5 linked regions of the Ovis aries genome follow. The protein of the gene in region 3 binds, or shares a complex with, the protein of the main gene of each other region. Links are inferred from orthologs where the notes say so. Each region holds a gene or a part of one and is shown on either strand. Other genes may lie near its edges. The genes, in order: transcription initiation factor TFIID subunit 9-like, TAF5, TAF13, TAF7 and TBP.

Region 1 (5,877 bases), on a different chromosome or scaffold from region 3:
CTATCCCCAGCCCTGCCAGAGCCATAAGGTATTCTCGAATCTTCACAGTGAGAACTTGGTGAGCTGCATGGAACAAGTACTGAACCCCTTAGACTGTGATCTCCAGAATTTCCTCTTATACTAGTCCACACTATCAACAGTTCATCAAAATTACTATTTAAGTGCTCTTATCTGTTGCTTCATCAGCTTCTGCTCCAGGTAAGCAGATCTTCTGTCTCTCTGAATGTGCCTGCATGTCCAGACTGTGGAGCAACAATTAACCCTACAAATTCAGTTTTCTGTTGTTCAACAAAAGTCACTGGTTTTAGTTTATAAAATGTTTTCTTGTCTTAAGGACAGGTTTGATAGCTTCACAACTTTTTACATGTTAGAGCTCTATCTGGAAGTGTTGTTTTTATTACCATTATTCAGAAATTACAATAATGTTGGCATATTGATTTGAGAAAGCTGTTAACATATTTCTCAGTGGTCAAATTGTTTTTTGCATTTAGTGGGACCATTTATTCTTTTATAAGCATTATTTTGAAACTGATTTATGTTTAGAATGACTACCCAGACTGAAAAGAAAAAAAAGTTATAATTTTGTTTGCTGCTCTAGAAGTCAGCTACCTAGTAATCCTATCTCTTAAGCACTGTAGCTGGAAACCAGGAAATAAGAAAAATAGCCCCTGAACAGTTAATCTAAATATCACAAAATGCAGGTGCTAAACTTCTTAAAGTATAATTTTGGTATAAGTAAAACTATATATAATGCCTATAAAAGTTATGAAGCATCATCTTGTAATCATCAACTATGAATCTACCACCTGTCATAAGAGCTAAAGTAATATTAGTAAATGTCACTCAGTCGTGTCCAACTCTTTGCAACCCTGTAGACTGTAGCCTACCAGGTTCCTCCATCCATGGGATTTTCCAGGCAAGAATACTGGAGTTGGTTGCCATTTCCTTCTCCAGGATGTCTTCCCAACCCAGGGATTGAACCCAGGTCTCCCACTTTGTAGGCAGACGCTTTACTCTCTGAGCCGCCGGGAAAGTCATAAGAGCTAGACCATTGCTAATACTTTCAAAGCTATCACCCATCTGTAGGTCTGCTAATCTCCTGGAGATAATTACTCTCTTAATTTTTAACCATATAATACACCCATTCTTGGAAAATTTTTTCTTGCATATATATTCCTAAATAACATAATCTTGAGCATTGTTTGATTTTTAGTTTTAGTAAAATAAGGTAGCATTCTGTATGCAGTCTTCTATATGCAGTCTTCTGGATTTGCTTTTTTTTTTTTTAAATGCACGAATTGCAACTTTATTTTTTACACTTAAAGGGTGACGAGAAACCATTACTAATCCTATCAAAGAAAATCTAACACAACAGCTCAATCAAAAAGTATGGTAAGCATATTTACTCATTAAATACTATTCTTTCTAGAACACAACATGGAAATATCCAGCATGCATGTTTAATCTCAGTACAACAGATTCAAAACCAAGTATACAAGTTACATGCGTCAAGGCTAGATTACAAGTTATCATAGTCATCGTCGTCGTCATCATCGTCATCATGTTTCCTTTTCAATGTGTTTGATGTTTCATTGGCAGTATTTTGTGATGAGACCATGTTAGTGGTAATAAGAATATTTTTGGACCCAATTAATGACGGATTAATTAGAACATTCTGAACAGCTGATGTTGCAGGAATTGATGCTTTTACAGCTGGGGACTGTGAAGTGGGCATCTGTACTGTGAACCTTTGCCCTGTGAGGGACACTGGAGTCCCTACTTTAGTTGAAACAGACATGGCTTGTGGGGTTGGTGTGCCAAGCGTGGGAGTACTTGGTCTGCTAGTAACTGAACCAACGCTTAACCGTGGAACCGTTATTCTTCCTGCAGAAGTAGATGCCTTTTTTTGTAAAGACTTCAGTCTATAATTTGGAGCAGTCAAGCAATACCTATCAGGTGGCAATCTAGGACCTGAGTATGGCTTGATCAATGGCAAAGGGGTTTGATTTCTTTGCCTTGCAATATCTAATAAAAAATCTCTTGGTGGAGGAGAGGTGAAAGACTGGTCAGCACGACACTGGATTGCCAACCGCACATCATCTGCGTCAACAGTAGCTTTCTTAGCATGACTTGAATAAATTTTGGCATCATCTAGAATTGTGGTTACATATCGGAAGGCAAACTCCAACATCTGATTTATAACTCTTGGTTCATATTCTGTAATCCCCATATCCTTCAGGATTTGTGCCATCATCTGTGCATCTTTCGGCATGCTCTTGGGAGAAGCCATCTTGCCAGACTCCATGATATCCGGTGATCAAACTTCTCGAGCTAAATCACCCACATTAACGTATTTCAGTCCTGATCTTGATGCAAGTTCTTTGCCTAATGTAGTTTTTTCAACCCCTGGTGTACCGGTGAGCAGGATGTTCGGAAGCAACATCGCTTTTTTTTTTTTAAATTAGGTTTTTATACACATTCTCTATACCCAGTGGAGGTAATAATGGAGCTAATAATAATTCATTATGCAAAATGGAGGTAATAATACTTCAATATTTCACTGTATTTTTATATATCAGTTAAACATGTTAATATAGGAAATAACTTAGGAAACAGTTCCTAGCATATCGATCATGCTTTTTATCTTTGATAAAGAAAATATTCTTGTATTCATCCGTTTTTACTGCAATATCAGCTCAGTTCAGTCATTCAGTCGTGTCTGACTTTTTGCGACCCCATGGACTTCAGTATGCCAGGATTCCCTGTCCATCACCAACTCCAGGAGCCTACTCAAACTCATGTCCATTGTGTCAGTGATGCCATCCAGCCATCTCATCCTCTGTCATCCTCTTCTCCTCCCACCTTCAATCTTTCTCAGCATCAGGATCTTTTCCAATGAGTCGGCTCTTTGCATCAGGTGGCCAAAGCATTGGAGTTTCAGCATCAGCATCAGTCTATCCAGTGAATATTCCTTTAGGATTGACAGGTGAGATATCCTTGCAGTCCAAGGAACTGCAATATACTGCAATATATATCATATTTTATATACAGTTGTTTCCTCTTATCCACAGTTTTTATTTCCAGAGTTTCACTTACCTGTGGTCAACCACAGTCTGAAAATATCAAACGAGAATTCCAGAAACAAACAATTCACATTTAAATTCTTTGCCATTCCAAGGAATGTGATGAAATCTTTTGCTGTCCTGCTTCATCCCTCTGAGGATCCTTAGTGATTGACATTGTCTGCTCTAGATATCCAGCCATCCACATCATCATGTCTCAGTGATCTGGGATCACATAAAGTGGATATGCCTCCTTTTGAGGTGTCATCAGAAGGTCAATAGTAACCAAATACTACATTGTTGTTATTGTTATTCAGTCGCTAAGTCATGTCTGACTCTTTGCAACCACGTAGACTGCAGGACAACAGGGTTCCCTGTACTTCACTATCTCCCAGAGCTTGTTCAACTCATCTCCATTGAGTAAGTGATGCTATCCAACCATTTCATCCTCTGTCACCTTTTTCTCCTCCGGCCTTCAATCTTTCTCAGCATTAGAGTCTTCTCCAAAGAGTTGGCTCTTCACATCAGGTAGGCAGATTATTGAAGCTTCAGCATCAGTTCAGCTCAGTTCATTCAGTCGCTAAGTCATGTCCAACCCTTTGAGACCCCAAGAATCGCAGCATGCCAGGCCTCCCTGTCCATCACCAAATTCCGGAGTTCACTCAGACTCATGTCCATCGAGTCAGTGATGCCATCCAGCCATCTCATCCTCTGTCGTCCCCTTCTCCTCCTGCCCCCAATCCCTCCCAGAATCAAAGTCTTTTCCAATGAATCAGCTCTTCGCATCAGCTGGCCAAAGGACTGGAGTTTAAGCTTTAGCATCATTCCTTCCAAAGAAATCCCAGGGCTGATCTCCTTCAGAATGGACTGGTTGGATCTCCTTGCAGTCCAAGGGACTCTCAAGAGTCTTCTCCAAAACCACAGTTCAAATGCAACAATTCTTCAGCGCTCAGCCTTCTTCACAGTCCAACTCTCACATCCATACATGACTACTGGAAAAACCATAGCCTTGATGGACCTTAGTCGGCAAAGTAATATATCTGCTTTTGAATATGCTATCTAGGTTGGTCATAACTTTTCTTCCAAGGAGTAAGTGTCTTTTAATTTCATGGCTGCAGTCACCATCTGCAGTAATTTTGAAGCCCCCCAAAATAAAGTCTGACACTGTTTCCACTGTTTCCCATCTATTTCCCATGAAGTGATGGGACCAGATGCCATGATCTTCATTTTCTGAATGTTGAGCTTTAAGCCAACTTTTTCACTCTCCTCTTTCTCTTTCATCAAGAGGCTTTTAGCTCCTCTTCACTTTCTGCCATAAGGGTGGTGTCATTGATATTTCTCCTGGCATTCTTGATTCCAGCTTGTGTTTCTTCCAGTCCAGTGTTTCTCATGATGTACTCTGCAAATAAGTTAAATAAGCAGGGTGACAATACACAGCCTTGATATACTCCTTTTCCTATTTGGAACCAGTCTGTTGTTCCATGTCCAGTTCTAACTGTTGCTTCCTGACCTGCATGCAGATTTCTCAAAAGGCAGCTCAGGTGGTCTGGTATTCCCATCTCTTTCAGAATTTTCAACACTTTATTGTGATCCACACAGTGAAAGGTTTTGGCATAGTCAATAAAGCAGAAATAGATGTTTTTCTGGAAGTCTGTTGCTTTTTCCATGATCCAGCGGATGTTGGCAATTTGATCTCTGGTTCCTCTGCCTTTTCTAAAACCAGCTTGAACATCAGGAAGTCCACAGTTCACGTATTGCTGAAGCCTGGCTTGGAGAATTTTGAGCATTTCTTTACTAGCGTGTGAGATGAGTGCAATCTTGTGGTAGTTTGAGCATTCTTTGGCATTGCCTTTCCTTTGCAATTGGAATGAAAACTGACCTTTTCCAGTCCTGTGGCCACTGCTGAGTTTTCCAAATTTGCTGGCATATTGAGTGTAGCACTTTCCCAGCATCGTCTTTCAGGATTTGAACTAGCTCAACTGGAATTCGATCACCTCCACTAGCTTTGTTCATAGTGATGCTTTCTAAGGCCCACTTGACTTCACATTCCAGGATGTCTGGCTCTAGATGAGTGATCACACCATCGTGATTATCTGGGTCGTGAAGATCTTTTTTGTGCAGTTCTTCAGTGTATTCTTGCCACCTCTTCTTAATATCTTCTGCTTCTGTTAGGTCCAGACCATTTCTGTCCTTTATCGAGCCCATCTTTGCATGAAATGTTCCCTTGGTATCTCTAGTTTTCTTGAAGAGATCTCTAGTCTTTCCCATTATGTTGTTTTCCTCTATTTCTTTGCATTGATCACTGAAGAAGGCTTTCTTATCTCTTCTTGCTATTCTTTGGAACTCTGCATTCATATGCTTATATCTTTCCTTTTCTCCTTTGCTTTTCGCCTCTCTCCTTTTCACAGCTATTTGTAAGGCCTCCTCAGAGAGCCATTTTGCTTTTTGACATTTCTTTTCCATGGGGATGGTCCTGATCCAATCTCCTGTACAATGTCACAAACCTCCATCCATAGTTCATCAGGCACTCTGTCTATCAGATCTAGTCCCTAGAATCTATTTCTCACTTCCACTGTATAATCATAAGGGATTTGATTTAGGTCATAGCTGAATGGTCTAGCGGTTTTCCCTACTTTCTTCAATTTAAGTCTGAATTTGGCAATAAGGGGTTCATGATCTGAGCCACAGTCAGCTCCTGGTTTTTTTTGTTGACTGTATAGAGCTTCACCATCTTTGGGTGCAAAGAATATAATCAGTCTGATTTTGGTGTTGACCATCTGATGATGTCCATGTGTAGTCTTCTCTTGTGTTGTTG
Region 2 (6,860 bases), on a different chromosome or scaffold from region 3:
TCCAGTCAAGTTGATACAACCACCAAAAATACCTCCAGTTCCAAATAGCCAGGAAGGAGGAATAATATTACACTCAGTTGAGAATCACTACAATAACTTCCAAAATAATCGGTCTATGATCACTTCATCCCCCCAATCATTGTTTGCCCCAACATAAAGGTCCTTTCAAAACATAAAATCTAATAAAGCATGGTTCTTCAACAACTTCTGTAGCAAACAGCAAAGATGTCTGTCCCCAGATATTCATTTTTTTCTTTCTTCCTCCACAATAAAACACCGGAATACTAGCTGAGCACACAGACATCTAGGTAAAGACCATATTTCCTACCTTCCTTGGCCAATGACTAATGACATAAAAAAGGGAGAAATACTTGCACTTCCAGGAAGGATGTGCACCCTCCCTGCTCACTCGAACACTTATCTGATTTCTCAGAGCTGGAGAGTCACCATGTACCACAGTGGAAACTGCATGACAAGGATGTTAGCACTACATGATCAAGAGACACAAAGGACTCCATACCAGTCCTAGAATGCCTTCCATCATGAGAGAGAGAAACAGAATTTTATTATACTCAAGCCTATACTGTTTGGGGTTCTAGTCACTCTCATGTAATCTAATCCTAACACAGCTTCATACTGCTCTTAGTAGCAGCAGCAGTGCGTGTATGCTTAGTCGTGTCCAACTCTTTGCACCCCCATGGACTGTAGCACACCAGGACCTCTGTCCATATGATTTTCCAGGCAAGAATACTGGAGTGGGTTGCCATTTCCTCCTCCAGGAGATCCTCCTGACCCAGGGATTAAACCTGTGTCTCCTGCATTGCAGGTGAATTCTCTACTGCTCTTAGAAGCAAAAATAAAATTTTTATTTAGGCAGCTATTGTTTGATTTTTCAGTGAATCTCAGCCAAATCTAATCCCACCCAATATGACTAACTACTGATCTTAGGGTAAACAAAGACCCTCAACATGGCCTAAGAACCTGCCTGTCCCAGCCACTAACCAACCATCAAGCTTCATGTAGTACCAAACCCCACCCCCCATACTCTGCTCCAGCCACACTAGCCTTCTTTCACCTCGGGGCCTACCATGATCCTTCCTGCCACAGGGCTGTCACACAAGTTTTTCCCTTTTCTCTTCCTCTGGTTAACTCCTCTCCAGCCTTCAGATCCTATCTCAAACATCACCTCTAGGAGCCTTTCCTGACTTCAACAAGATCAAACCCTTCATTTTAAGTTTAGCAGAGGCACCAGGTACCTCTCCTTCATAAAGTATTTTTCGAGTTGCAATCTGACATTTGTGTAGTTACAGATGTATATAAACATTTTGTGTGTGTGTGTATATATATAGCTATATATACATATTTTTTATAAATTCACATACTTCTCAAAGAATGATTTTGCTTCATTCTCATGTTGATTGTAGACTAGTTCCAAATACATGTGTACAAATAGGGGATAAAAGAGTTGGGATAGTTCTGCCCGATGGCAGTCCAAGGAACATTCAATGAAGTGTTTCAGTCCGCTATAGTATTCTTCATACATCGTGGGGTCTCCCTGTTGGCTGTAGGCTGAGAGCACGGCACTGACATCTGGCTGGTCTTCCACAGCTACACTTCCAACTGTTTAAAAAATGAAAAATAACTTCAAGAAAATGACCTGACAAGCACCAAAAGACTAAGGCTGTTTTGTTAAGGTCCAGAGGAGAACTGTTTCACAGATGTTTGTCCCTCTCCTCTCAAACACTCTTCCCCGACACAATCACAAAATCTTTTAATGGGATTCAGTTTGTTTCAGTTACCCATCCAACACTTCCTTGGTTTGTCCACATCTTAAAATAAAAATTTTCAGATCAACAGCAAAAAGATTCAGCATTTTTCCTAGAGCTTCACTATTTTAAAAACAAATTTTATAAAACATGGTATGTGCAAATCAAACAACGGTATTACTCTTCTCTCAAGGCTCAGTGCAAATGGCACTCACCACCACAAAGCCATGCCCTGGAGTAACATTCCCAGCCCTCTGAGCTACCTGAGTATTTTATAACTTTTCAGCAACATATCTTATCCTGTGTTACCTTCACGTATGTCCATCTATCACTCCCTATAAAATACAACCATGTTAATGGTGGGAAGAACTTGCCTTTTATATTTCCAAAAGATAAATCTATTTTATATGCTTAAAACAATTTCCATAACCACCATTTCAAGGCAAAAAGCATGAGTATTTATTTGTAATATTTCAATACCAAACAACGATACATCTGTCAATCAAATGAGGGTTTGTGGGAAATTTTTTTTAAGTTGTGATTACAGTACTGTTATGCTCTTTACTGCACAAATTTTCAGTTTTTTTGGTTACTATGATGGCCTCTTTTCCTTTCTATTGGTTTCTCAGTTACAATCTGAAGGTCAAGTTTCTAAAGAGATGAGAGATTATAGCAAAATAATCAACCACATAATTCATCCATCTTATAGTTCATTCCCAAATTCAGATTCAAAAAAGATTCCTCTCAATCACATTTGCACACAGTTCTACTTATGGGTTACAGCGCTTATTCATACCTCACTCCTGGAAATGCTGCCAAGATTAGGTCTCATAAACACAGGTTAATTTGGCAAGAGGCTCTACAATGGGTAATTTAATTCAATAAACATTTTTTACTGGCTCAGGATCACCTTTGAAACTTTATGTTGTATATGACTTTTACTGCATGGACTTTTTGACAACAGTTGCTGAAGGAAAAGGGGAGCGGGAGCCTCAGGTGTCAGGGATAGGTACTTGGCATAAACTTGTCAGTGCCAGACATTTTACATATATATGAATCTCACAATAACCCGTTTAATAGAAGGAAAAAAACTCTCAAGCTTAGGAAGAGTAACAATCAGCATCACACAAGTAAAAGCAACAGAGACAGAAACTGAAGTCCAATACCTGTTCCTAAATGAATGGGTCTCAAACCTTGCCATAGATCAACATCTCTTGGAAGCATTTTTTTTTTTTAATCCTTAGAATATTTATTTATTTTTGGCTGCGTTGGATCTTACTAGCGGCTCCGAGGATTTTTCCTTGCCGCATGCGGGCTCAGTAGTTGCAGAGCGCGGGCCTAGTTGCCCCACGCTTGAGAGATCTTAGTTCCCTACCACGTTCCCACATGCCCTACGTTGGAAGGCAGATTCTTTTTTTTTTTTAGTTTTTATTTTTTAAATTTTAAAATCTTTAATTCTTACATGCGTTCCCTAACCACTGGACCACCAGGGAAGTCCCTGAAGCATTTATTTGAAAATGCAGATTCCCAAACTCCACCTTCACAGGATCTGATTCACTACGTCTGAAGTGATGCCCAGGAATCTGCATTTCTCTAAAAGATTTGATACCAATGGTATTTAGCCTATATTTTGAGAAAGACTGGCTTCACTATGTACCACCACTCTCTGGCTGTGCGGTCCAAAGCAAATACCTTGGCCTTTCTCGGTCTGGTTTCTCATCTCTAAAATAGAAGTACTGTCTACCTCACAGTGGAACTGTGAAAATTAAGATAAACAACACAAAATATTTATAGTAAAAGTACGCTAGTACAAATAATGTTGCTGCATCCCTGCCCAAAGCTCAAGAGCCCAAATAAGAACCAAAAGCCTGGAAGTTCCCGCCTCTCCGCGCCCACCGTCCCCATACATCCTTCGGCTCAATAGCTCTCCACAGCCTCTCGCTGGAACTGACAGCTCGGAAGAGGGTTTGACTGCGCAGCCGGCGCACTAGGGAAAGGGGCGGGCATGTGGCCCTAGAGGCGGGCCCAGGAAATTCAAAACAAGCCCGCAGAGGTGCAGGCCTGCCAGCCTCTGCCTTCCCGGCTCACTCCCCGCCGTGCCGGTCCTGCCTACCCCGGACCCAGCGGCTCACCTTTACCCGGAGCCACAGAACCTGTCGCTAAGCCCGAGACGGCGGCGGACCCCGAAGCGCCGCTGACTGGAGGATCCGGGGCCGAAGGGCCGGGCGCCGAGGCGGTGACCCGGCTAAGAAGCGCGCTGGCTGTCTCAGCGCCGGCGCTGTCTGCCTCTCCCGGGGCTCCGGAGCCCGCCACTGCCTCCTCCAGCAGCCGGGCCTCACGGCGCAGCGCTTCTTCGGCCTCGCGGAGGTTGCTCTGCCGTAGAAACTGCAGCACGGCGAGCAGAGTCTGTCGGTCGTGGGGAGCGCTGGCCTCCGGAGCAGCGGCGGGCACCGGGGCCGCCCCCGCCGGTGCAACGGCGGAGACAGCCACCGAGGGTTTGGGGGTCCCACCATCCCCGCCGGCCGACGACGCCGCCGCAACGTTCCCGCCGCCGCCGTTGGGGCCGCTGTTGGTTGTGCCGCCGCCACCTTCGCCAGCGCCGTCCCCCGCCTGCGGAGGTAGCAGCGTCGGCGGTCCCTCAGGCTCTAACTTCACCGCCACCTCCGTCTGCTCCTCTGCCAGCGCCGCCATCTTGCGGCTGAGCCACCTCGCGCCGTCAAGCGTGATTGCGTTTTCGCCATATGGAGGGCGGGGAGGAGCGTTTTACGACATCTCTGGAGGGCAATTTACGGCAGTAGGAGGGGCGATAAAGAAGGAGAAAAAGGAATCGCAGCAAGAGCAACTTTCAAAAGTGAGTGGCAAAAAGGCAGGAAGTGGGACGTCGGGGCAGCCTCTTGCATTTGCCGGATAATAGTTACATTTATTACAGACCAGCTATTTTTCAGGCACTGCGATGGACGTTTTACATTATGTGACCTTTTATTCAGCAGTCATATAAAGTACCATTATTCTCACGATACAGATGACTGAATCAAGACCTAAAGACATTTTTTAAATGCCAAAGTCACACAGGAGGAAAGCGTCAAGATTCAAAACCAGGTCTTTATCTTAAAAGCATATATCATTTACCAGAAGGAGGCTTCTGAGTTACTGGTAATGTTTATATTTTTTTCTGGATGGCGGTTACTTTTCTTTTTCCCATTTATGCCTTATAAAAATTAATTGGGCTGCAAGCTCACGTTTTGTGAACTTTACGCATATATGTTATATTTCAATAAAAAGTTTTTAAGAACCTGAATTTTGTGATTGTGAAATGTGTATATGCTGTATTCGTGCTATGTTAACCATTATTACAAGCAGGCCGCATTTTAGTTGTATATTTTAAAACAGTATGTGCCATTTTGCAACATGCTTCATAGGTTTAAAAGCACTGCTGCATGTTTGAGGACTTACGTTGTGGCTCAGACGGTAAAGAATCTGCGCTGCATATTTGGTCTCCTTTGACTCTCACAACGGTATGAGATAGGTGCAGACAAGAAAAGTGAACTTGGGACATGGGGAAGATCGAGTTATGTGAGGATTAAATAAGATAGAGTCCGTGTGGTCGCAAAGAGTCGGACACCACTGGGCAACTGAACTGAACTAAACACATAATAAATAACTATTGGTTATTTTTACTGAACCTTAAGCGGTGTTCTGCAAATGTTTCCTAAGAAAGTCTAATCATGACATACATGGTGATCTCAAGACTGAAATATAAAACTAGTGGAATTTGACATAATGTAAGATTATGAAACATGGGTAGGGGCAAGGGCAGAGAGGGGGGAGGAGATGAGCATTTAAGTTGTTCAGTTTCTTGCTTTACTAGCAGTTGCACCTTCCTCTGCATCTCATTACTTTTCTCTATGAATTTGTATTTCCCGGAAGGTATCAGCTACCTTGTCTACCCAGAAGGAGAGGCTAAAGCCTAGCATTGGTAAAAGGTGAAGGATGCACCCAAAACAGGAAAACCTGTGATGTGTTGGCCCCATCACTCCCTGTTTATCAACATACATGCACACATGCACACACACATATCCTCAGAGGTTTCACAGTTTTTACTGATCTATCAATTTCAGTGCCATCTCTAGGGTTGAGTGTGATGGGAGAGGTAGCCACTGGTGTGAGTTTACAATCTTGTTCAGTTCCTAAGTTTAAATTCACAAAGCTAAGAGTGAATTTAGAGTTTGCCTCCTAAGGTAGGTAATTGCAAAACTGACCTGCACTACTCCAGGAGCAACTTAATAGTGTGGTTATTGACTACTGCCACTGAATGTACCTAGTCTGAGCTAAGGTGTTCTCTAAGTGTGAGATATGTGCTGGATTTTAAAGACAAAAAGAATAAAATGGCTCAATAATATTTTTATTGGTAACATGTTGAAAAGTATTTTTATATGAGTTAAATATTAAAATTAATTTCCTATTTCTTTTTACTTTTTTGTGGAAAGTTTTCTGGAAATTTTTATTTACATATGTGGCTCACCTTGTATTTCTGTTGAACAAACTGATCTAGACCAGGAGCTTTCAATTTTTTTGGCCATGATTCACAGTAAGAAATATGTTTAACACCAGAACCCATAACCCACGTAGGTATGTGGATATTTATAAGTGAGACAAGTTTTAACAATAATATGTATAATTATCACATTGAAATATATACTCTAATATTTGATAGTCTGTTCTTTAAATAAAATGCTCAGTATGACTGATTAAATTTATTTTAATTTAATTTTTAAATGATCTGCAGTTTGAAAACACCAGATAGTTCAGTTCAGTTCATTCACTCAGCTGTATGCGACTCTGCGACCTCATGGACTGCAGCACTCCAGGCTTCCCTGTCTATCACCAATTCCTGGAGCTTACTCAAACTCATGTCCATAGAGTCAATGATGGCATCCAATGATGCCACCCAGAGGATACCATCTCATCCTCTGTCATCCCCTTCTCCTTCTGCCTTCAATTTTTCCCAGCATCAGGGTCTTTTCCAGTGAGTCAGTTCATCTCATCAGATGGCCAAAGTATTGGAGTTTCAGCTTCAGCATCAGTCCTTCCAAT
Region 3 (5,566 bases):
GCCTTACAAATAGCTGTGAAAAGAAGCGAAGCGAAAAGCAAAGGAGAAAAGGAAAGATATAAGCATCTGAATGCAGAGTTCCAAAGAATAGCAAGAAGAGATAAGAAAGCCCTCCTCGGTGATCAATGCAAAGAAATAGAGGAAAACAACAGAATGGAAAAGACTAGAGATCTCTTCAAGAAAATTAGAGCCACCAAGGAAACATTTCATGCAAAGATGGGCTCGATAAAGGACAGAAATGGTATGGACCTAATAGAAGCAGAAGATATTAAGAAGAGGTGGCAAGAATACACAGAACTGTACAAAAAAGATCTTCACGACCCAGATAATCACGATGGTGTGATCACTCACCTAGAGCCAGACATCCTGGAATGTGAAGTCAAGTGGGCCTTAGAAAGCATCATTACGAACAAAGCTAGTGGAAGTGATGGAATTCCAGTGGAGCTATTTCAAATCCTGAAAGATGATGCTGTGAAAGTGCTGCACTCAATGTGCCAGCAAATTTGGAAAACTCAGCAGTGGCCACAGGAATGGAAAAGGTCAGTTTTCATTCCAATCCCTAAGAAAGGCAATGCCAAAGAATGCTCCAACTACCGCACAATTGTACTCATCTCACACGCTAGTAAAGTAATGCTCAAAATTCTCCAAGCCAGGCTTCAGCAATATGTGAACCGTGAACTTCCAGATGTTCAAGCTGGTTTTAGAAAGGGCAGAAGAACCAGAGATCAAATTGCCAACACCCACTGGATCATCAAAAAAGCAAGAGTTCCAGAAAAACATCAATTTCTCCTTTATTGACTATGCCAAAGGCTTTGACTGTATGGATCACAAAAAACTGGAAAATTCTGAAAGAGATGGGAATACCAGACCACCTGATCTGCCTCTTGAAAAACCTGTATGCAGGTCAGGAAGCGACAGTTAGAACTAGACATGGAACAACAGACTGGTTCCAAATAAGAAAAGGAGTATGTCAAGGCTGTATACTGTCACCCTGCTTCTTTAACTTATATGCAGAGTACATCATGAGAAACGCTGGGCTGGGAGAAGCACAAGGTGGAATGAAGATTGCCAGGAGAAATATTAATCACCTCAGATATGCAGATGATACCACCCTTATGGCAGAAAGTGAAGAAGAACTAAAGAGCCTCTTGATGAAAGTGAAAGAGGAGAGTGAAAAAGTTGGCTTAAAGCTCAACATTCAGAAAACTAAGATCATGTCATCTGGTCCCATCACTTCATGGCAAATAGATGGGGAAACAGTGGAAACAGTGGCTGACTTTATTTTTCTGGGCTCCAAAATCACTGCAGATGGTGACTGCAGCCGTGAAATTAAAAGACACTTACTCCTTGGAAGGAAAGTTACGACCAACCTAGACAGCATATTAAAAAGCAAAGACATTACTTTGCCGACTAAGGTCCATCTAGTCAAGGCTATGGTTTTTCCAGTAGTCATGAATGGATGTGAGAGTTGGACTATAAAGAAAGCTGAGCGCCAAGAATTGATGCTTTTGAACTGCGGTGTTGGAAAAGACCCTTGAGAGTCCCGTGGACTGCAAGGAGATCCAATCAGTTCATCCTAACAGAGATCAGTCCTGAGTCTTCATTGGAAGGACTTATGTTGAAGCTGAAACTCCAATACTTTGGCCACCTCATGCGAAGGGCTGACTCATTTGAAAAGACCCTGATGCTGGGAAAGATTGAGGGCAGGAGGAGAAGGGGACAACAGAAGAGATGGTTGGATGGCATCACCGACTGAATGGACATGAGTTTGGGTAAACTCTGAGAGTTGGTGATGGACAGAGAGGCCTGGCATGCTGTGGTTCATAGGGTGGCAAAGAGTCGGACATGACTGAGCAACTTAACTGAACTGAATCCCCAACTGACTGCAGAAAGGACATTTAAGGTGGTGCTTAAGGTTAAATGAGGTCATAAGGGTGGAATCGTTATCCCACAGAACTGGTGGCCTTATAACAGGGAGGAACAGAAGAGGTCTCTCTCAGCCATGTGAGCACAGGGAGAAGGCAGCTATCTGCAGTCCAGGAAGACTCCTTACCAGTACCTGACCTATTGGCACCCTGATCTCAAGACTTCTAGTCTTCAGAACTGTGAAAACATAAATTTCCATTGTTTAAGCCAGCCACTCAGTCTGACATTTTTGTTATGGGAGCCCAAGCTGACTAATACAGGCACCCAGTGTAACTCCACTCTGCCGGTTACCACCAGGTCATTCTTCAGGGTCAAGCAGACTCTGACTAGCAAAAATAGTAACATACTGATCTTTTATTATTCCACGCTCAATCTTGATTTCAGTTTAAAGTAGATTTTTAACTGGTTTTTGCTTTTTCAAATAAAAATATCAGGCCAGGTATCTTGAATCTCACAATCAATTCAGGAGCATTACAAGAATAATACAGAAAAAAAAGTTTTTAGTGAATTATAAGGGAGAGAAAAGCTGATAAATCATATAGTCAAACTCAAGCAGTAATCTTTTTAATTTTTCATCCTTTATTCTCTACATTGATAGGTTAAGAAAGTGAAACCTTCCTAAATACTGATTCATAGACAATGCTTATAAGCGGCACACGAAACAATCAGTTTCACAAAGAGTAATATCCAGTGATCCCTTTAAATGCAATTTTAATCCTTACTTTCAGCTAAGTGCAATAATACAATGAGCTAAATACACACAAAATTTGTGAACTACAAAAGTGGTTTCCATAGCCACACATGGTTTTAGTCAAGTATACATTTTCAGAATAAATAAATACTAACAAATATGTTAATAAAACACTACCCGAAATGCTTACCTGCCATCAACTTTTCAGCAATGCCATTCCTGCTACTGAAAGCACTTTCTGAAGTTTTAATCTGACCTGGGAAAACGAGTTCTTTTAAAATCTGACAAACAGTATATTATAAACCCCAAAGATTTTTAATCCAGTATGTCTTTCAACACAGAACCATTCATAGGAAATTCTTAGTTTCTCAAAAAATAAAAAAAATCACTCTTGTTATCCAAAGAAGAGTATTAAATTATCTTAAGACAAATAAACACTCCTACAAAAGACTGTACTTTCTAATATTGTTTTCTCCTTAAAAGAAACACAAACCAGTTCACCATCTTTTAATAACTTACAATACTTTGGTCTAAAAGCTTTAGAAATATATGAAACACATCTTAGCTATCAAAGTCAAAGGTGCCATTTAGATTTCACAGATTAAACAGCTATAGTACAACCTACAATGGCACAAGTATACATAAATATTAATTCATCATTGAGATGGTCAAGAGTCAGAGGAAACTGAATGGTTTGCAAACCAAAGGTACTTTGACTTACATGTGGTCATTAAAATCTAATATGTCATTCAAGTAGGGTAATATAATGGCAGGCAATTAAAGGCTCATATATCACTCTAAAATTGAAAACATGAAAATAAAGCCTGAAAACTTTGTGGTTCTCCATTTTTCATTCACATGGTTAGGTATCAGGGCCTTACTGTGGAAAATACAGTTATTAAGTATGGTTTCCCCAGAACATAATGAAGCTTCAGAAAAGATGTCAAGATCCATAGTTTGCTTCATCAAATGCTTTTCTAGCGCGTTTCAATTCTTCATTCATAGTAAGCAAGTCTTTAACCCTAGCAAACTTTCTTGGGTCCTTTCGAATCAAGAAGACGATATCTTCAACTTGTACCCGACCTTGTCTTCCAATTGACATTGCCTTATGAGTCTATTACAAAGAAACATATTAAATTCAATTAATTTTTCAAAAATCTAACATTTTATTTTTTTAACTATAATGCTGGTGAGTTTGAAGACTTCTCTTCTAATTATTATAGCTATTCATTTGTGAATTGTCTTTCTATTAATGTTCTTTGTCCACTTCTACCATTATTAGCAATGTTTCAGTGCTTGACAGACATTTTTTACACTAAAGTCATTAAAACTATCAAATCCATAGATGCTTCTTTTTGTATTTTGATATACATATAGTTGATCTTCATTTGTATAAAATGATTTTGTAATTTCTCTGTAACCACCCACTTCATTTAAACTTTGTGTCCATCTTGGTAGCTAATAAATATTGGTGGCTTTTCTTTAGACAAATCTCATCCCCTATGATTACATAATCATACTGTGTAAAACAAAAAACTCCTTGCAGCATTATTTCTAATGACTGAAAAAAAAGAAACTAAATATTTAATAAGGCATTGAACAAATTTGAGTACATCTAGCCAATTAATATTATGAAGCCATCAAAAATATTAAAAGTATTCTGCAGTGACACAGGGAAAGCAGGCTCTATGACTGTATGTACTACATGATTTCAATTTTGTAAAGTTTTAAAACGTGTAAAAAGACAAAAGAATATTCACAAAAATCTCAGCATCAGTTATCCCTTGGTAGAAGGGTTATAGCTTTCTATTTTCTTCTGGGCACTCTTTAATACTTTCTAAATTTAATATAAGCATATATAAAATAAATTTAATAATACTTTCTAAATTTAATATAAGCAGAAAAAGATTTTTTAAAATGCATACTCTCTGACCCAGTAATTTTACTTCTATTATTCTTTATGAAGGAAATAATCTAAAACAAAGGGTAAAAATTCACAGGAACTGAACACAGCCAAACTCCGTATACCCATATATATACATGTATATCTCTCTCCATCCTTAATGATAAACGGTAACCAGAAACTTCCACAAAACAGGCACTCGAATAGTTTTTCAAAAGTATGTCACAGTTCTATTCTAAAAGTTAGAATTTCAAATCCATTCCTCAGTTAACGAAGACCAATTAAAAAAAAAAGTCTTACCATTTCAGTGATGAACTCTATGACAAGGTCTTCAAGAATATCTACTGATTCAGTATAAGGATTCTGGTCATCTCCAAACCCATACATCATACACCGTACTGTAAAAAGAACAATCATTTTTGTTTACTTAAAAGAACTTGACTTATACTTTTTTCATATTAGAATTGAACCAAGGTATAGAAGATATTGGTATAAAAGTATATTTACATTATATTTGTTGTCTCCAAGTATGAATTTTGGTGTGAAAGGTATTAACCACTAGCTCATAACCAACTGTTCTTACCTAGCCTTCCCTAGGTAGAAACTCCCCTTGTCGCCTAGCTACTGAGCCCTGATATCAATATTCTTCCCTAACCTCTATTATCTACTCATCAACAACCCCAGAATACCTTTAAGTAGGAATCTTCTTAGCAGGAAAAGGGTGAGTAGCAATGGTTTAGCTGTTTTTGGGGGGAGGAGGGCTGGAAAAAAGAAGGCAAAATCCTTTATGATACAACTATAAGGAAAAGGACATAAGAGAAAGCTCCAATTACCTTCTTCCAGGAAGAACTGGTTAATCAAAAGGAGATAGCAAGAGCTTATAATACAGAATCTTGACATTTTATTCCCTGGATCAAAGCAACTGCCAGCGAAGCCCTTTTAGGCTTCATAGAAAACACAAAAGAGAAGAAAAGTATAATACGAAGTAATAAAAGTAACTGCTAATAGGTAAACCCCTTCATGGATCACTGTCTTCTCGTGGTGAA
Region 4 (6,852 bases), on a different chromosome or scaffold from region 3:
TCTGAATTAATCATTTCTTCACCTGCTTTGGTTTTATCAAAACAGATTGACGTCTCTCACCCCCTGCTGTCTCACCTCCTATTCTTTCCCTTAGGGGCTGCTATGCTATTATCAACAGGCTTTCTGGGAGAGAAAAAAGATTCACAAGAACAATGTGCCATTTTAAACTAGAAAAAAAAATTTTAGTCCTATTATATTTGAGTTTTTAAAAAAATGTTTTGGCTTTTAAAACTGTCCATTAATGACATATGGTTCATTGTTTATTTTTAAAATATTTTAAAATTGTGTTTATTTTTAAAGCACATACTGAGTTTTTTCAAACACAAGAGATGGAGGTTACTGCAGTAAATCATTAACTGGTTCTGCATTAAGTTTATATATGTGTTATGTTTTGGAAAAACCAAATTAGTAATCAGTGCCAGGGACCATGCAGGCATTAACAGAAACATGGTCTGGAACTTCATTGAACAGTCAGACATAGTTGTACAAATATTACTGCCAGAACTCAAGTTCCATAAAATATACTAAACAGCTGGACTTGGAGCTGTACTGTATATACTGTTTACAGAATATACTGTAACATTGCCCAAGACAAAAGGCAGTCTTAACCATCTGAAACCATTTTTTCCTGATTCTAACTTAATCAAAATTATGATGCTTCTGTTTTAAATTTAAGCACACGTACTCCCAAGCATACATGGAAAATAATGGCAATGAAATTTCCAGATTTTCAGTGAAGTCCATCACTCTTAAGAAGATGCATACCTACATCACATGGTCCCTAGATATCTGATTGAGTAGCCAGGTAGGTTTACCAGAGAAAGTAAAGTCTGAACTGAGGGCTGAGTAACAAAAAGCTAGCCATGAGATTATCTAGACTGTTCCAGAAAAAGGGAAATGTAAGTGTAATAAGAGTAAAGCTCTGTAGTGTGAAAGAGCTGGGCATCTGTAATACAGAAAGGCCAACATCTATACTTCCTGTGTGGTGAGCAGTTTTCCTAGTCTGTTTTTACACAGAATTCTTACTGGATACTAAAAAAGATAAAAAGCAGAGTTCAAGACACAGTCCTTCAGAGACTTGACTTGTCACAATTTGTCTCAATTTTTCATCTCAAACATTTGATCTATAAATTCAAAATGTCTAGGCTTTATGACATTTAGAACTGAACATAAAGATCCCCATGTACCTAATCTATAAATACAATGAAAAATGGAGGCCACAGTGATATGCTTATTGCAGCATTCTGTGTAATAGCAAATTTAAAACAGAACAACCTAAGTGACCAGTAATAGGGGAGTGAGTAAAATTAAGAATTTGTAAAATTTCTGCATTGCTTAAAATTTTCAGTGAGTTTTTTCTTTTAAACTTTTTTTTAAAATTCAATTTCTGTTCACAAACTCAGAGAAATATTGAAAACTGTAGCCCAACTATATATCACACTCATCAGACAAGGGAGCTGTGAGAAAAGTGAGTCTTTTTTGGAAACTCTGGGTTTACATGAAGGGAAATGGATCTTAAGTTGTTCTCTTTTGAAGTTATGTAACAGATAATTACTCTTCATTATGGAGGCTTTATGCAAAACCATAAATAAATCAAACAAAAAAAGCTACAGTAAACTCAGTATGCTTATGCTGTAGATGTATGTACTGGAAACAAACTTTGTTTCTGCTGTAGTTTAAGCTTTGATTTAGATTCTTTAATTTGAAATCAGTCAACATTTAAAAGTTTCTTCATACACTTTTCTACCATTTTGATCACTTTCATTGAAGTTTGTAATCCCTATTACGTTTGTAATCCCTGTAACGTTTGTACCCTGCCTAGAAAATAGGCAATAATTTGTTTCTATTCCAGAAATTGTTTTCAAATCCTTTATATTAAGTCAATAGCCAAAATCAAAGGTCCCGAGGTAGATGATATTATCACCTCCACTTTAGAAATGAGGAAATTGAAGCAAACAGATTAATTTACTTGCCCAAGATCACTCAACTCAGGCACTACATCACCTGACCTTGTGATTTTTAACTGCTTTACTCTTCTTTACAGTGACTAACAAGGCAAAATGCCTAATCTCAGTGAATTAACAGCTTAGTAAGGATATGAGCAACAGGTAACTTAGACTCTGGTATGACAGGTGCATAAGAGTACTTATCCCATTAGACTATTATAGAGGAAGAGGAGTAATTAAACTCCTTGAAAAAAATGTAAATAAGCTCAGGATTGAAAACAGTGGAAGAATGGGAGATTAGGCTGGAAAAAACATTCAGATAGTTTAGGAAGGCTCTTTATTTCCTAACCTCCAAATGGAGCAGGTGATACTGCCTGATTTCTTTGCCCTTGCTGTGTTCTTTTCTTAAAATCGAACATAACTGCTTCTTTTCCTACAAAACAGAATCCAATTGGTCAATATATTAAACCCCACCAGGAAACCACTTCAGAAGAGGATAATATCCATTACCCCTAAAAGAGCAAGACACATTATAAAGTGAAACTTAACTTGCTTTTATTTATTGTTGAACGTTACGAAATGACTTGCAATGCAAAAATACGAAAAAATTGCTTTGAATAGCTGGAAAATTAGCTATAGCATCAAAAAACATATGCAAACAAACTTTACTGCCTCCAGACTAGACTCTACTGATTTACCTCAGATGTCATCACAGAGTAGCAATGGAAGCTTCTAAACGGAGAAACAGCCACAAAGTCCTGCAATGAAGCTGTGATTAATAACAAAGTTGAACTTTTCACTCCACTAATCCTACAACTTCTCCACATTTATCTGTCTATACATTCCTACTTCCTATGGGATAAACACCTAGCAAAGTGGTTCCAAAAGACAAATGAGATAGAAGTTCACATTTGTCTACAAGACAAATCCAATAGAAGACAGTGGAAGAAACTGCGAACTGCAAAGTTTTACAAGCAATGAAAACAAAAAAAATTTTCTCTTTCAATGCTGACCTCTCACAGTAATGAAATTAAGTATGAAACCACTCCTCACTTCTCTAGGAGTGATTCTAGCTCTTCTTGCAAAGAGCTGAGCTGCTCCTTTTCCCGGTCTTCCTTTTGTTTCAGTTCATCCAGCACAGCCTGAAATCTGTTTTTGAGAGCCAGGTTTTCCACTTTCATGATGAGATCCTCCTGTCTCTTTGCTCTGTCCTGGGTCTCTTGGAGCTTGCCTTTCATGTTATCAATCTGTTTCTGAATTCCCATAACCAGCTGATTGGTTCCCTCGTTTTCTTGGTGCTGTTCATCTGATTCATTTAGTTTGTCCTGTAGCTGCCTTTCCAGATCTTCTTCAGTGTCTATGATGTTTATATCTTCTTCATCTTGATGTTGTGTTTCATCTTCATCTTCACTGCTGCTGCTGAGGTCATTGAATATCTCCCGAAGCTCATCATGTTCTAAGGAGTCATGGCCCTGCCTGTGGCCAGACATTCCTGGGGAAGAGATATCAAGGCCTTGATTTTCTGTTTCTTTTGTCTCATCTTCAGCAATTATTTCCCAGCGGGTACTGACAGCTTCAGCATCTGTGCTCAGCAACCGCTTTACTTCTTTTTCCACATCTGGAGACTCAATATACTTTTTCTTTGCTGTCTTACGGAATCTTCTCTTTCTCACATTTTTCAGAGGCAGAGTAATTCCATGGTTCCAAACAAATTTTTTCTCTTTGTCCTTATCCTTCTTTTTGCTTGCTTTGGGATCAGCAGTAGCAACTGGTTCCTCCACAGGAGGATAGAGATCACCATCAACTGTAGAGACAAGCATCTGACAGACATCAGCTGTCTTGTAAAAGGTTTTTTTATCAATGGTTTTCAAACTCTCCATAACACACGGCAGGTCTACCAACTTTGCGGCCAAAGGGACTCGGTCCACTCTGACAATTCCATGACGCCCATCAGGGTGTAACTCAATTGATAGTCTGTCCTTCAAGTTGACATGGCCAGACTGTACTGCCCGCCTCACAGTAGAGGCATATTCCGGGGGTAGGCGTAAGATAAACTGGCTCTCTAGTTCATGAGGAGCATCATCTTTGCTCTTACTCATTTTTATTTCTTTGTAATTCACTTTTTCTCTAATAACCACTTGTTGCACTAAAAAGTTCCAGGTACTTCACCAGAAAGACCAGTTCTGTATAAACTTGAATCCTTAATTACAAAGAGTTCTAGGTAGAACATCAGCTATATATCTGTTTTTAATTAAGTCCCAAGTCTTTTTGAAAACGCCGTGACTGAACACCAGTTGTTACTGATGCATTGTCTTACTCGTTTATGTCCATTTAAATCTATTAGCTGCAACGCCAAGTTTCAACCTCTAGATGCCGCTGCAGAACAATGCAGAGAAAGCAAATGGCAGCTCCTACGGATTTTCAGCACAGAAAGTAAGGCTCAGCAGATACGCCCAAACCACAAACTCTCCCGGAACAAAGATATTCAAAACGCGGGGCGTAGTGAGCTCTCTTCGCCTCGGGTACTTACAATCCAGTGACGATTATAAATCCAGATTCTCCGGACAGGAACGAGCGGAAAAAGCCACTCAGAACAAGGCCGGGAGCAGAGCGTCTCTTTCTTGATTCCTTTGTTCTTCCCGGCACTTGGCAAAGCGATCCGCTATTGATTATCGGTGAAATGACTCGGAACTGGCAAGGTGAAATCTCGCAGAGAACCGCAGCTCCGAGCGCCAGACTTTGCAACTCCGCAGCTCGGCGTGCCTCCGTCCGGAGCTGCAGAGCTAGCGGAAAAGAAAGCGTTACGTCACCCCGCAGGACAGGAGGAGTCCGTGAGTGACAGCACGCCTTCGGCGGAAGTGCAGGGCGTTTCAGCGCGCGCAGGCGCAACGCGCGATTACGCCGTTCGGCGTGACTTGTTGTCTCGCGAGATTTTGGTTTTAGGAGAAGGTAGCGATCATGTTTCCAAAACAATCACTGTCTTTAAAGTGTTTAAAACAGAAAGCAATTCTAAGAAAGATTGTCTCGCCTGCCTCTGCTAAGCCAGAGCTTTAACTAGCTCGCCTGGGGCCGGTTACTTCCTTAGGCTTCCGTGTGATTACTGGAGATAGGGCGTCCGTGCGGAAATAGTGTTTGTTTCTGGAAACATCTCAGAGTCTCCCAGACTATATTCTTAAATCTGGAGCCGATAAAAGAATTCATAACTAACCATGCCTGTAGATTTTAAAGTACCCGAATCAGTGGCGTGAGGACGTGCTGCCCACTATGTAATTCTGTGTTTGTTGATAATTAAAGTGTCCTTAGGGGGCCTGTGACTCACGGTCTGTTTGTGTTTTGGAGACTTCCTGAGGCAACAAGGGTGATTTCTCTTTTAATGTGTTAGGTGTAGGTATAAGTGTAAACAGGGAACGTAGTGTTCTTCGGGAGGACCGTGTTCATTTAGGACCGTTGTCTGAAAGACGAATGGTCTGATTAACCTTTAACTGAAGTATTATCGCCTGCCACTAATTTGCCAGTAATTTTTTAGTTTGGAATTAAAAAAAAATTCACCCCTACTGTTGAGCTAACTTTTCTACTTGCCTCTTTAGGTTGTCAGGTATTCTTAACATGGATTTATAGTACTTTGGACTAACAGTGTAAGAGTTTTCACTTCTGTTCATTTCCATTTATTAATAGGGTCAATTTAGTAGAGTTCCACTATCATTAAAATTAAAATTCTGTTCTCTAAAATATCGACACCTGCATCTTAAGTTTAAGGGAACTCGCTTAAGATGTGATTAACATGTAGAAAATTCACTTTATTTATTTTGTACTTATTGTCTCCCTCACCGAAGATTGGAAGGTCCATGATAATTAGAAGGCTAACCGTGTGCTCATCTGGTCCCATTGCCTCATATCAAAACGTGGGGCGTAAGAAATATTTGGTAATTCAATGAAAAAATTGACCCATCCGAAGAACATAAATATAATCTAAATCCTCTAATAATTTGTGGGAGAAAATACATTCTGTATTGCCTTAAAATGAAAGAGAGTCACTTGATAGACATTTCCTCTCCAGTCAAGGGTCCTACAAATTGTTAGGAGGCTGGAGGTTTGCAAACAGCAGATGTGAATGTGTCCCTTTTGGTTTCAGCAGACTTATATTGCGTATCATGGGGTGGAATTTAAATGGCTTGACCCCAGTTTGGTTTTTCATGCTAAGTCTCCAGGGAAATTATGCACTTGCACATAATTGTGCTTTAGTTCTTTGTTCTGTAACGTGTTGAAGAATGTTCAGTTCAGTTCAGTGGCTCAGTGATGTCCAACTCTTTGGGACCCCATGAACCACAGCAGGCCAGGCCTCCCTGTCCATCACCAACTCCCAGAGTCCACCCAAAACCATGTCGGTTGAGTCGGTGATGCATTCCAACCATCTTATCCTCTGTCGTCCCCTTCTCCTCCTGCCCTCAATCTTTCCCACCATCAGTCTTTTCCAATGAGTCAGCTCTTTGCATCAGGTGACCAAACTATTGGAGTTTCAGCTTCAACATCAGTCCTTCCAATGAACACCCAGGGCTAATCTCCTTTAGGATGGACTGGTTGGATCTCCTTACATTCCAAGGGACTCTCAAGAGTCTTCTCCAACACCACAGTTCAAAAGCATCAATTCTTCACTGCTCAGCTTTCTTCATAGTCCAACTCTCACATCCATAATTGGCGGATGGAAAAACCATAGCCCTGACTAGATGGACCTTAGTCGGCAAAGTAATTTCTCTGCTTTTGAATATGCTATCTAGGTTGGTCATAACTTTTCTTCCAAGGAGTAAGCGTCTTTTAATTTCACGGCTGCAGTCACGATCTGCAGTGATTTTGGAGCCCCCAAAAATAAAGTCCGCTGTTTCCCCATCTATTTCCCATGAAGTGATGG
Region 5 (6,807 bases), on a different chromosome or scaffold from region 3:
AATCAGACCAAAGGTTCCTTAGCAGAAGATTACAGAAACATCCGGCTTCCCTTGTGGCTCAACTGGTAAAGAATCTGCCTGTAATGCGGGAGACCTAGGTTCGATCCCTGGGTTGGGAAGATCCCCTGGAGGAGGGCATGGCAACCCAGTCCAGTATTCTGGCCTGGAGAATCCCCATGGACAGAGCCTGATGGGCTACAGTCTAAGGGATCGCTAAAGAGTTGGACACGACTGAGCGACTAAGCACAAACATCACTAAATTATCACCATCATCAAAAAACTAAACATTATTGATTAATATGTATCATTAAACAATTACTGATACTATAAAATGGCCAAAGGCCATGGCCTTGCCTGCTGGGGGAGGTGTAGGTAGTGATACAACACAAGATATCTGAGCTTAAGAAAGAGGGGCTTAATGTGGTTTTTATTATTTTTTCTTTTTTGATCCCACCACACAGCATGTGAAATCTGTTTCCCCACCAGGGATCAAACCCGTGTCTCATGCTTTGGAAGGGCAGTCTTAACCACTGGACCACAAGGGGGGTCCTGGGGCTTAATGGTTTTAATTTCTTTATATCCAAGTCCTTATAAAATTGTCTTGCACTCAGGAGACACCCAAGCATCTGTTGGAAAATGGACCAACAAAGAACAATCTTTCCCCTCTGTGGCTCTGTTCAGTGGAGGCCGAGAGGATGAGCTCTAAAAGCAAACTGTGTGGGTTCGAAGTCTGGTTCTCTTGCTTAGAAAATATGAGATAGTCAACTGCTTCACTTCTCAAGGCCTCGCTGTCCTCAAGCACGTATCAGGGATCACAACAATCGCTACTTTAGTTAGGTGTTACGAGCATTAAACGGACTAAATTGTTAAGCCTTATACCAGTGCCTGAAACACAACTGGTCCTCCAGTTAAGTGTTAGCTATGATCCCCCTGGCCTAAGCATGATCACCGAGAACCTGGACTCTGAAGCTGCCCAAAGCCTGCCCGTGCCACTAGCAGCTCTGCGGCCTTGGACAAATCGCCAAGTTGGCGCTGTCAGCAGTCCCTCTGTCAAAGGCTGGCGAGCCGAATGGTGTGGCCTTGAAGTGCTCAGCGGCACGTGCACAGGCCAGTCACCTGGAGTCTGACCACAGTCAGTCAGACGAGAAGGACACAGGACCGAGTCTTATTTTGTAGAAGCAAAGGCTGCCCAAGAGGCAGCAATAGATGTTAAAGGAAAAGGACACAGACTAAGATAAGGGAATTCAATGTCAGAAAGCCATAAGCACTAACTTTGGAGCAGTGATTAGATCACAAAGGTTAGACAGTAATAAACACTGAATACCTTATAGTCTCAAGCAGAATCTGCAACTGTCTCATGAAATGGGTCTAATAACTCATTTTGTGATCCCACCACTTCATTAGTTGTCACAGGAAATATTTAAAAGTGCGATGATAAAAGCATTCATCAACTTCATAGCAACACAGGTATGGATTCAAGTCCTGGGGTTCAACTTCACACCAGCGCTATGACTAACAAAATTAAACTTCTAAGAGCCCAGGTTCATTTGTAAAATTGAGGTATATATCATCTAACAGTCAGTCATCATGAGGATTAAAAAGATACCTGCTTTCAATCTACAAAGTGCTTCTCTTTTGATTCTTCTCTCAAACTATGAGTAGCTAAGGAAGATAAGGAAATCTGGGTTCAAGGAGCTGAGAGGTAGGTACCAAACACTACACTGCTCTTTAGTGTCAGAGACAAGGCTAAAATCACACTTCCACCTTCTTTGCAAATACCCCAAAAATCTACATTAAAATTTCAAACCCATAAGACCTGAGTAATTAATCTGGTCTTTGGATGGTCCTTAAAGATTACCAGATTAATTTGGTGTGTACGTTTCAAAGTACAAAATTTGGCTGGCAAACTATAAACGATGCTTAAATACACAGCTCTTCGCAGTGAAGAGTCCTAAAGAGAGTGCCTTTCCACAACCCTAGTTCTTTCAGTGCACTGTCAAGGAAAAGTATTAAGATAAAGCGGGTAAGTTAAAAAGAAAGAAAAGCTCACATACAACATGCAAGAATACACACATTCAAAGGTCCGCCTTCTGAGTATTTTTCCCCTGAACTTACGCTAGCCCTTAAAACTAAACACTGATCAATGAAACTAAGTCTGTGCAAGTAATCCTACCTGCTATTTAAAACAACTCAAAATGGTGATTTGATTAGACCTATTAGCTAGACAGGGCTTCCCTGATGGCTCAGAGGTTAAAGCGTCTGCCTGCAATCGGGAGACCTGGGTTCGATCCCTGGGTCAGAAAGATTCCCCTGGAGAAGGAAATGGAAACCCACTCCAGTATTCTTGCCTGGAGAATCCCATGGACGGAGGAACCTAGTGGGCTACAGCCCATGGGGTCGCAGAGTCGGACACGACTGAGCGACTTCACTTTCGCTAGACAGCTATATTTAATCACATGGCCAATCAACCCTAACTTTTAATCTCAGATGTTCAACCTGCCCCGTGCCTGCTGGCTAGAGAAGCACATTCAGACAGGTCCATTTTTAAAGCTCTTCAGAGCGGAGGTCAGGTGTCAATTTCTATCTGCTGTCTACGTAAAGCTGGCCATCCACATCAAGATCCAGTGACCCGCCTATAAGGTGAAGCCCTGAAGAACAAGAGCTAGCCGAGCAACCTCGGAGAGGGAGGCCTGAGACTGGAAGGGCAGCGCCGGGCAGACAGACTTAAGCAGGGATATGGAGGAAGAAAGAGAAAGCGGCGGCTCTGCGGGTTTTACCCTCCGTTGAAAGCGTAGGGCGAAAAGCGCAGCTGCAAAGGGCCCACGGAGCTGTGCGGTTCCATGGCCAGGTCTCGGCCCGCGCCCGAGTACGAGGCAACGGAGGACAACATTCCGCGGCTGCTCTCCTGCTGTCTCACGGCAAGATGGCTGCCTCGACCGGAAATTGTGCCGTTTCCGGTTTCCGCGGCGCTGCCTCCGGCCGCTCTATCTCGCGCCAGTCGTTGCTCCTGGAGGCCAGAGCCCTCCCTTTCCAGTCGGTAGCTATTGCCTGCTCTACGAAGAGACCTGGCAGTGAGGTACAGGCTTTCTTTTCCAGGCAAATATTCGAAATCACTCGTGATGGATAGAAATTTTAAAGTCTGAGCTTACAAAGACATTGGAAAAACTATGGAGCAACGGAAACTCGAAGAGTCTATTGAAGTGTAAATTCGGAAAGGGACTGGCATTACTTGACATAGTTGAAAATACACACACATCATGACCCAGCAGTTTCACGCCGAGGTATGTACCCTGGCCAGAAGACGTGAAAGAATGTTCATAAAGATGTTCTTAATGGCCCCAAACTGGAAATGAGCTAAATATCCATAAACTGCAGAATGGATAAAGCAACTGAGGGATGTGGATGTGCAAAAGCAAGCAAATTAACTGACTTTGGCTAGAGGGAAAGGTCCTCCTTGGCTAGGGATGGGTTGGAGGTTGTAGTGCTAGCAATACTGGGTTTCTTTACTTGATTTAATGTTTGCCTGCTCAGTAGATCAGGCGTGTCCGACTCTGCGACCACACGGACTATGCCCATCAGGCTCCTCTGTCCATGGGGTATTTACAGGCAAGACTACTGGAGCAGGTTGACATTTCCTCCAAGGGATCTTCCTCCCCCAGGGATCGAACGCCCATCTCCCGTGTCTCTTGTACTGGCAGGCAGGTTCTTGGCCAACGAGCCACCAGAGGAGCCCTTGGTTGCTGTTGCTCAGTCGCTAAGTCGTGTCTAACTCTTTGCAACCCCATAAACTGCAGCCCGATAGGTTTCCCTGTCCTTCACTATCTCCCAGAATTTGCTCAAACCCATGTCCATTGTGTTGATCACATCCAACCATCCCATCTTCTGTTGCCCCCCGCCCCCCTCCTCCAGGCTTCCTTCTCCTGCCCTCATTCTTTTCTAGCGTCAGGGTCTTTTCTAATGAATCAGCTCTTTGCATCAAGTGGCCAAAGTATTGGAGCTTCAGCTTCAGTCTTTCCAATTAATGTTTAGGGTTGATTTCCTTTAAGATTGACTGGTTTGATCTCCTTGCTGTCCAAGGGACTCTCAAGAGTCCCTCCAACACCACAGTTCAATTCTTTGGCACTCAGCCTTCTTTATGGTCCAACTCTCACATCTGTACATAACTCTGGAAAAATCACAGCTTTGCCTATACAGACATTACCAGCAAAGTGATGTCTCTGATTTTTAATACACTGTCTCGGTTGGTCATAGCTTTCCTTCCAAGGAGCAAGCGTCTTTGAATTTCATGGCTGCAGTCGCTGCAGTGATTTAGGAGCCCAAGATCAAATCTGTCACTGTCTCCACTGTTTCCCCGTCTATTTGCCATGAAGTGATGGGACCGGATGCCATGATCTTCATTTTCTGAATGTTGAATTTTAAGCCAGCTGTTTCACTCTCCTCTTTCATCCTCATCAAGAGGCTCTTTAGTTCCTTTTCGCTTTCTGCCATTAGAGTGGTATCATCTGCATATATGAGGTTGTTGATATTTCTCCAGGAAATCTTGATTCCAGCTTGAGGTTCATCCAGCCACACATTTTGCATGATGTACTCTTCATATAAGTTAAATAAGCAGGATGACAGTGTACGGCCTTGATGTCCTCCTTTCCCAGTTTTGAACCCGTCCATTGTTCCATGTCTGGTTCTGTTGCTTCTTGACCTGCATACAAGTTTCTCAGGTGATAGATAAACTGGTCTGGTATTCCCATCTCTTTAAGAATTTTCCATTGTTTGTTGTGATCCACACAGTCAAAGGCTTTAGTGAAGTCAATGAAGCAGAAGTAGATGTTTTCCTGGAATTCCCTTGCTTTCTCTATGATCCAATGGATGTTGGCAATTTGATTTCTGGTACCTCTGCCTTTTCTAAATCCAGCTTGTACATCCGGAAGTTCTTGGTTTATGTACTGCCCTTACTTGATTTAATACCATCTATTAATCTGTATACATGTTTACATACTTCTTTATATGAATATCATATTTTACAATTTAAAAATGTTAATTAAAAAAAGCAAGCAAGCCTTTGACTAATATAGAATGGACTGCCTGATATATACATGCAATTCTGGAAGCAGAAAAAGATTTTTGAAAAGTACTTTTTTTAATTAAAACTTTTCCTATACTTTACTGTAAACAAAGCATAAAAGAAAGGGTTTTCTTTGATGGTTATGGACAGAGAAGTATTGTATTTATTCAGGTACTGTCTTGGATACAAAAATTCTGTAAAATCTTTCCTATCCTTAAGGAGCACACAACCTCATTGATTATGTGAAGCACAAAGGAAGCAAGCTAACAAGCATTACAACCTGCAATTATGCCTAAATGAACCATAGGATATTAGAGATACCAAAGGAACATTTCATGCAAAGATGGGCATAATAAAGGACAGAAGTGCTATGGACCTAACAGAAGCAGAAGATATTAAGAAAAGATGGCAAGAATACACATAAGAACTATACAAAAAAGCTCTTTATGACCCAGATAACCACAATGGTGTGATCACTCACCTAGAGCCAGGCATCCTGGAATGTGAAGTCAACTGGGTTTTAGGAAGCGTCACTACGGACAAAGCTAGTGGAGGTGATGGAATTCCAGTTGAGCTATTTCAAGTCCTAAAATATGCTGCTGTGAAAGTGCTGCACTCAACATGCCAGCAAATTTGGAAAACTCAGCAGTGGCCACAGGACTGGAAAAGGTCAGTTTTCATTCCAATCGCAAAGAAAGGCAATGCCAAAGAGTGTCCAAACTACTGCACAATTGCACTCATCTCACATGCTAGCAAAGTAATGCTCAAAATTCTCCAAGCCAGGCTTCAACAGTACTTGAACTGAGAACTTCCAGATGTTCAAGCTGGATTTAGAAAAGGCAAAGGAACCAGAGATCAAATTCCCAACATCCACTGGATCATTGAAAAAGCAAGAAAGTTCCAGAAAAACATCTATTTCTACTTTATTGACTATGCCAAAGCCTTTGACTGTGTGGATCACAACAAACTGTGGAAAATTCTGAAAGAGATAAGAATAGCAGACCATCTTACCTGCCTCCTGAGAAATCTGTATGCAGGCCAAGAAGCAACAGTTAGAACCGGACATGGAACAACAAACTGGTTCCAAATAGAGAAAGGAGTATGTCAGGACTGTATGTTGTCACCCTGCTTATTTAATTTATGTGCAGAGTACATCCTGTGAAATGCCGGGCTGGATGAAGCACAAGCTGGAATCAAGATTGCTGGGAGAAATATCAGTAGCTTCAGATATACAGATAACACCACCCTTATGCCAGAAAGTGCAGAGGAACTGAAGAGCCTCTTGATGAAAGTGAAAGAGGAGAGTGAAAAAGTTGGCTTAAAGCTCAACATTTAAAAAACTTAAGATAATGGCATCTGGTCCCATCACTTCATGGCAAATAGATGGGGAAACAATGGAAACAGTGACAGACTATTTTCTTGGGCTCCAAAATCACTGCAGATGGTGACTGCAGCCATGAAATTATAAGACGTTTGCTCTTTGGAAGAAAAGCTACGACTAACCTAGGCAGTGTATTAAAAAGCAGAGACATTACTTTGCTAACAAAGGTCTGTCTAGTCAAAGCTATTGTTTATCCAGTAGTCATGTATGGATGTGAGAGTTGGACTATAAAGGAAACTGAGCACTGAAGAATTGATGCTTTTGAACTGTGGTGTTGGAGAAGACTCTTGAGAGTCCCTTGGAATACAAGGAGATCAACCCAGTCCATCCTAAAGGAGATCAGTCCTGAATAGTCATTGGAAAGACT

The links.
Region 1: TAF13 (region 3) and transcription initiation factor TFIID subunit 9-like share a complex: the UniProt entries of both Homo sapiens proteins name them as parts of the TFIID basal transcription factor complex. The link is inferred for Ovis aries from reciprocal best matches to the Homo sapiens genes TAF13 and TAF9.
Region 2: TAF13 (region 3) and TAF5 share a complex: the UniProt entries of both Homo sapiens proteins name them as parts of the TFIID basal transcription factor complex. The link is inferred for Ovis aries from reciprocal best matches to the Homo sapiens genes TAF13 and TAF5.
Region 4: TAF13 (region 3) and TAF7 share a complex: the UniProt entries of both Homo sapiens proteins name them as parts of the TFIID basal transcription factor complex. The link is inferred for Ovis aries from reciprocal best matches to the Homo sapiens genes TAF13 and TAF7.
Region 5: TAF13 (region 3) and TBP share a complex: the UniProt entries of both Homo sapiens proteins name them as parts of the TFIID basal transcription factor complex. The link is inferred for Ovis aries from reciprocal best matches to the Homo sapiens genes TAF13 and TBP.

What each region holds. Positions count from the first base shown.
Region 1 is NC_056065.1:58,196,704-58,202,580, reverse strand, and holds transcription initiation factor TFIID subunit 9-like, read right to left. Parts: upstream 2,444-5,877; 5' UTR 2,306-2,443; coding exon 1,520-2,305; 3' UTR 1,389-1,519; downstream 1-1,388. UniProt on the Homo sapiens protein: The TFIID basal transcription factor complex plays a major role in the initiation of RNA polymerase II (Pol II)-dependent transcription.
Region 2 is NC_056075.1:23,656,164-23,663,023, reverse strand, and holds the start of TAF5 (transcription initiation factor TFIID subunit 5), read right to left. Parts: upstream 4,495-6,860; 5' UTR 4,458-4,494; coding exon 3,899-4,457; intron 1,621-3,898; coding exon 1,383-1,620; intron 1-1,382. UniProt on the Homo sapiens protein: The TFIID basal transcription factor complex plays a major role in the initiation of RNA polymerase II (Pol II)-dependent transcription.
Region 3 is NC_056054.1:86,370,207-86,375,772, forward strand, and holds the end of TAF13 (transcription initiation factor TFIID subunit 13), read right to left. Parts: intron 4,919-5,566; coding exon 4,821-4,918; intron 3,732-4,820; coding exon 3,561-3,731; 3' UTR 2,486-3,560; downstream 1-2,485. UniProt on the Homo sapiens protein: The TFIID basal transcription factor complex plays a major role in the initiation of RNA polymerase II (Pol II)-dependent transcription.
Region 4 is NC_056058.1:50,052,629-50,059,480, forward strand, and holds TAF7 (transcription initiation factor TFIID subunit 7), read right to left. Parts: upstream 4,747-6,852; 5' UTR 4,046-4,746; coding exon 2,996-4,045; 3' UTR 2,480-2,995; downstream 1-2,479. UniProt on the Homo sapiens protein: The TFIID basal transcription factor complex plays a major role in the initiation of RNA polymerase II (Pol II)-dependent transcription.
Region 5 is NC_056061.1:91,731,795-91,738,601, forward strand, and holds the start of TBP (TATA-box-binding protein), read left to right. Parts: upstream 1-3,032; 5' UTR 3,033-3,281; intron 3,282-6,807. Other genes in the region: PSMB1 (proteasome subunit beta type-1), read right to left, coding at 2,778-2,890. UniProt on the Homo sapiens protein: The TFIID basal transcription factor complex plays a major role in the initiation of RNA polymerase II (Pol II)-dependent transcription.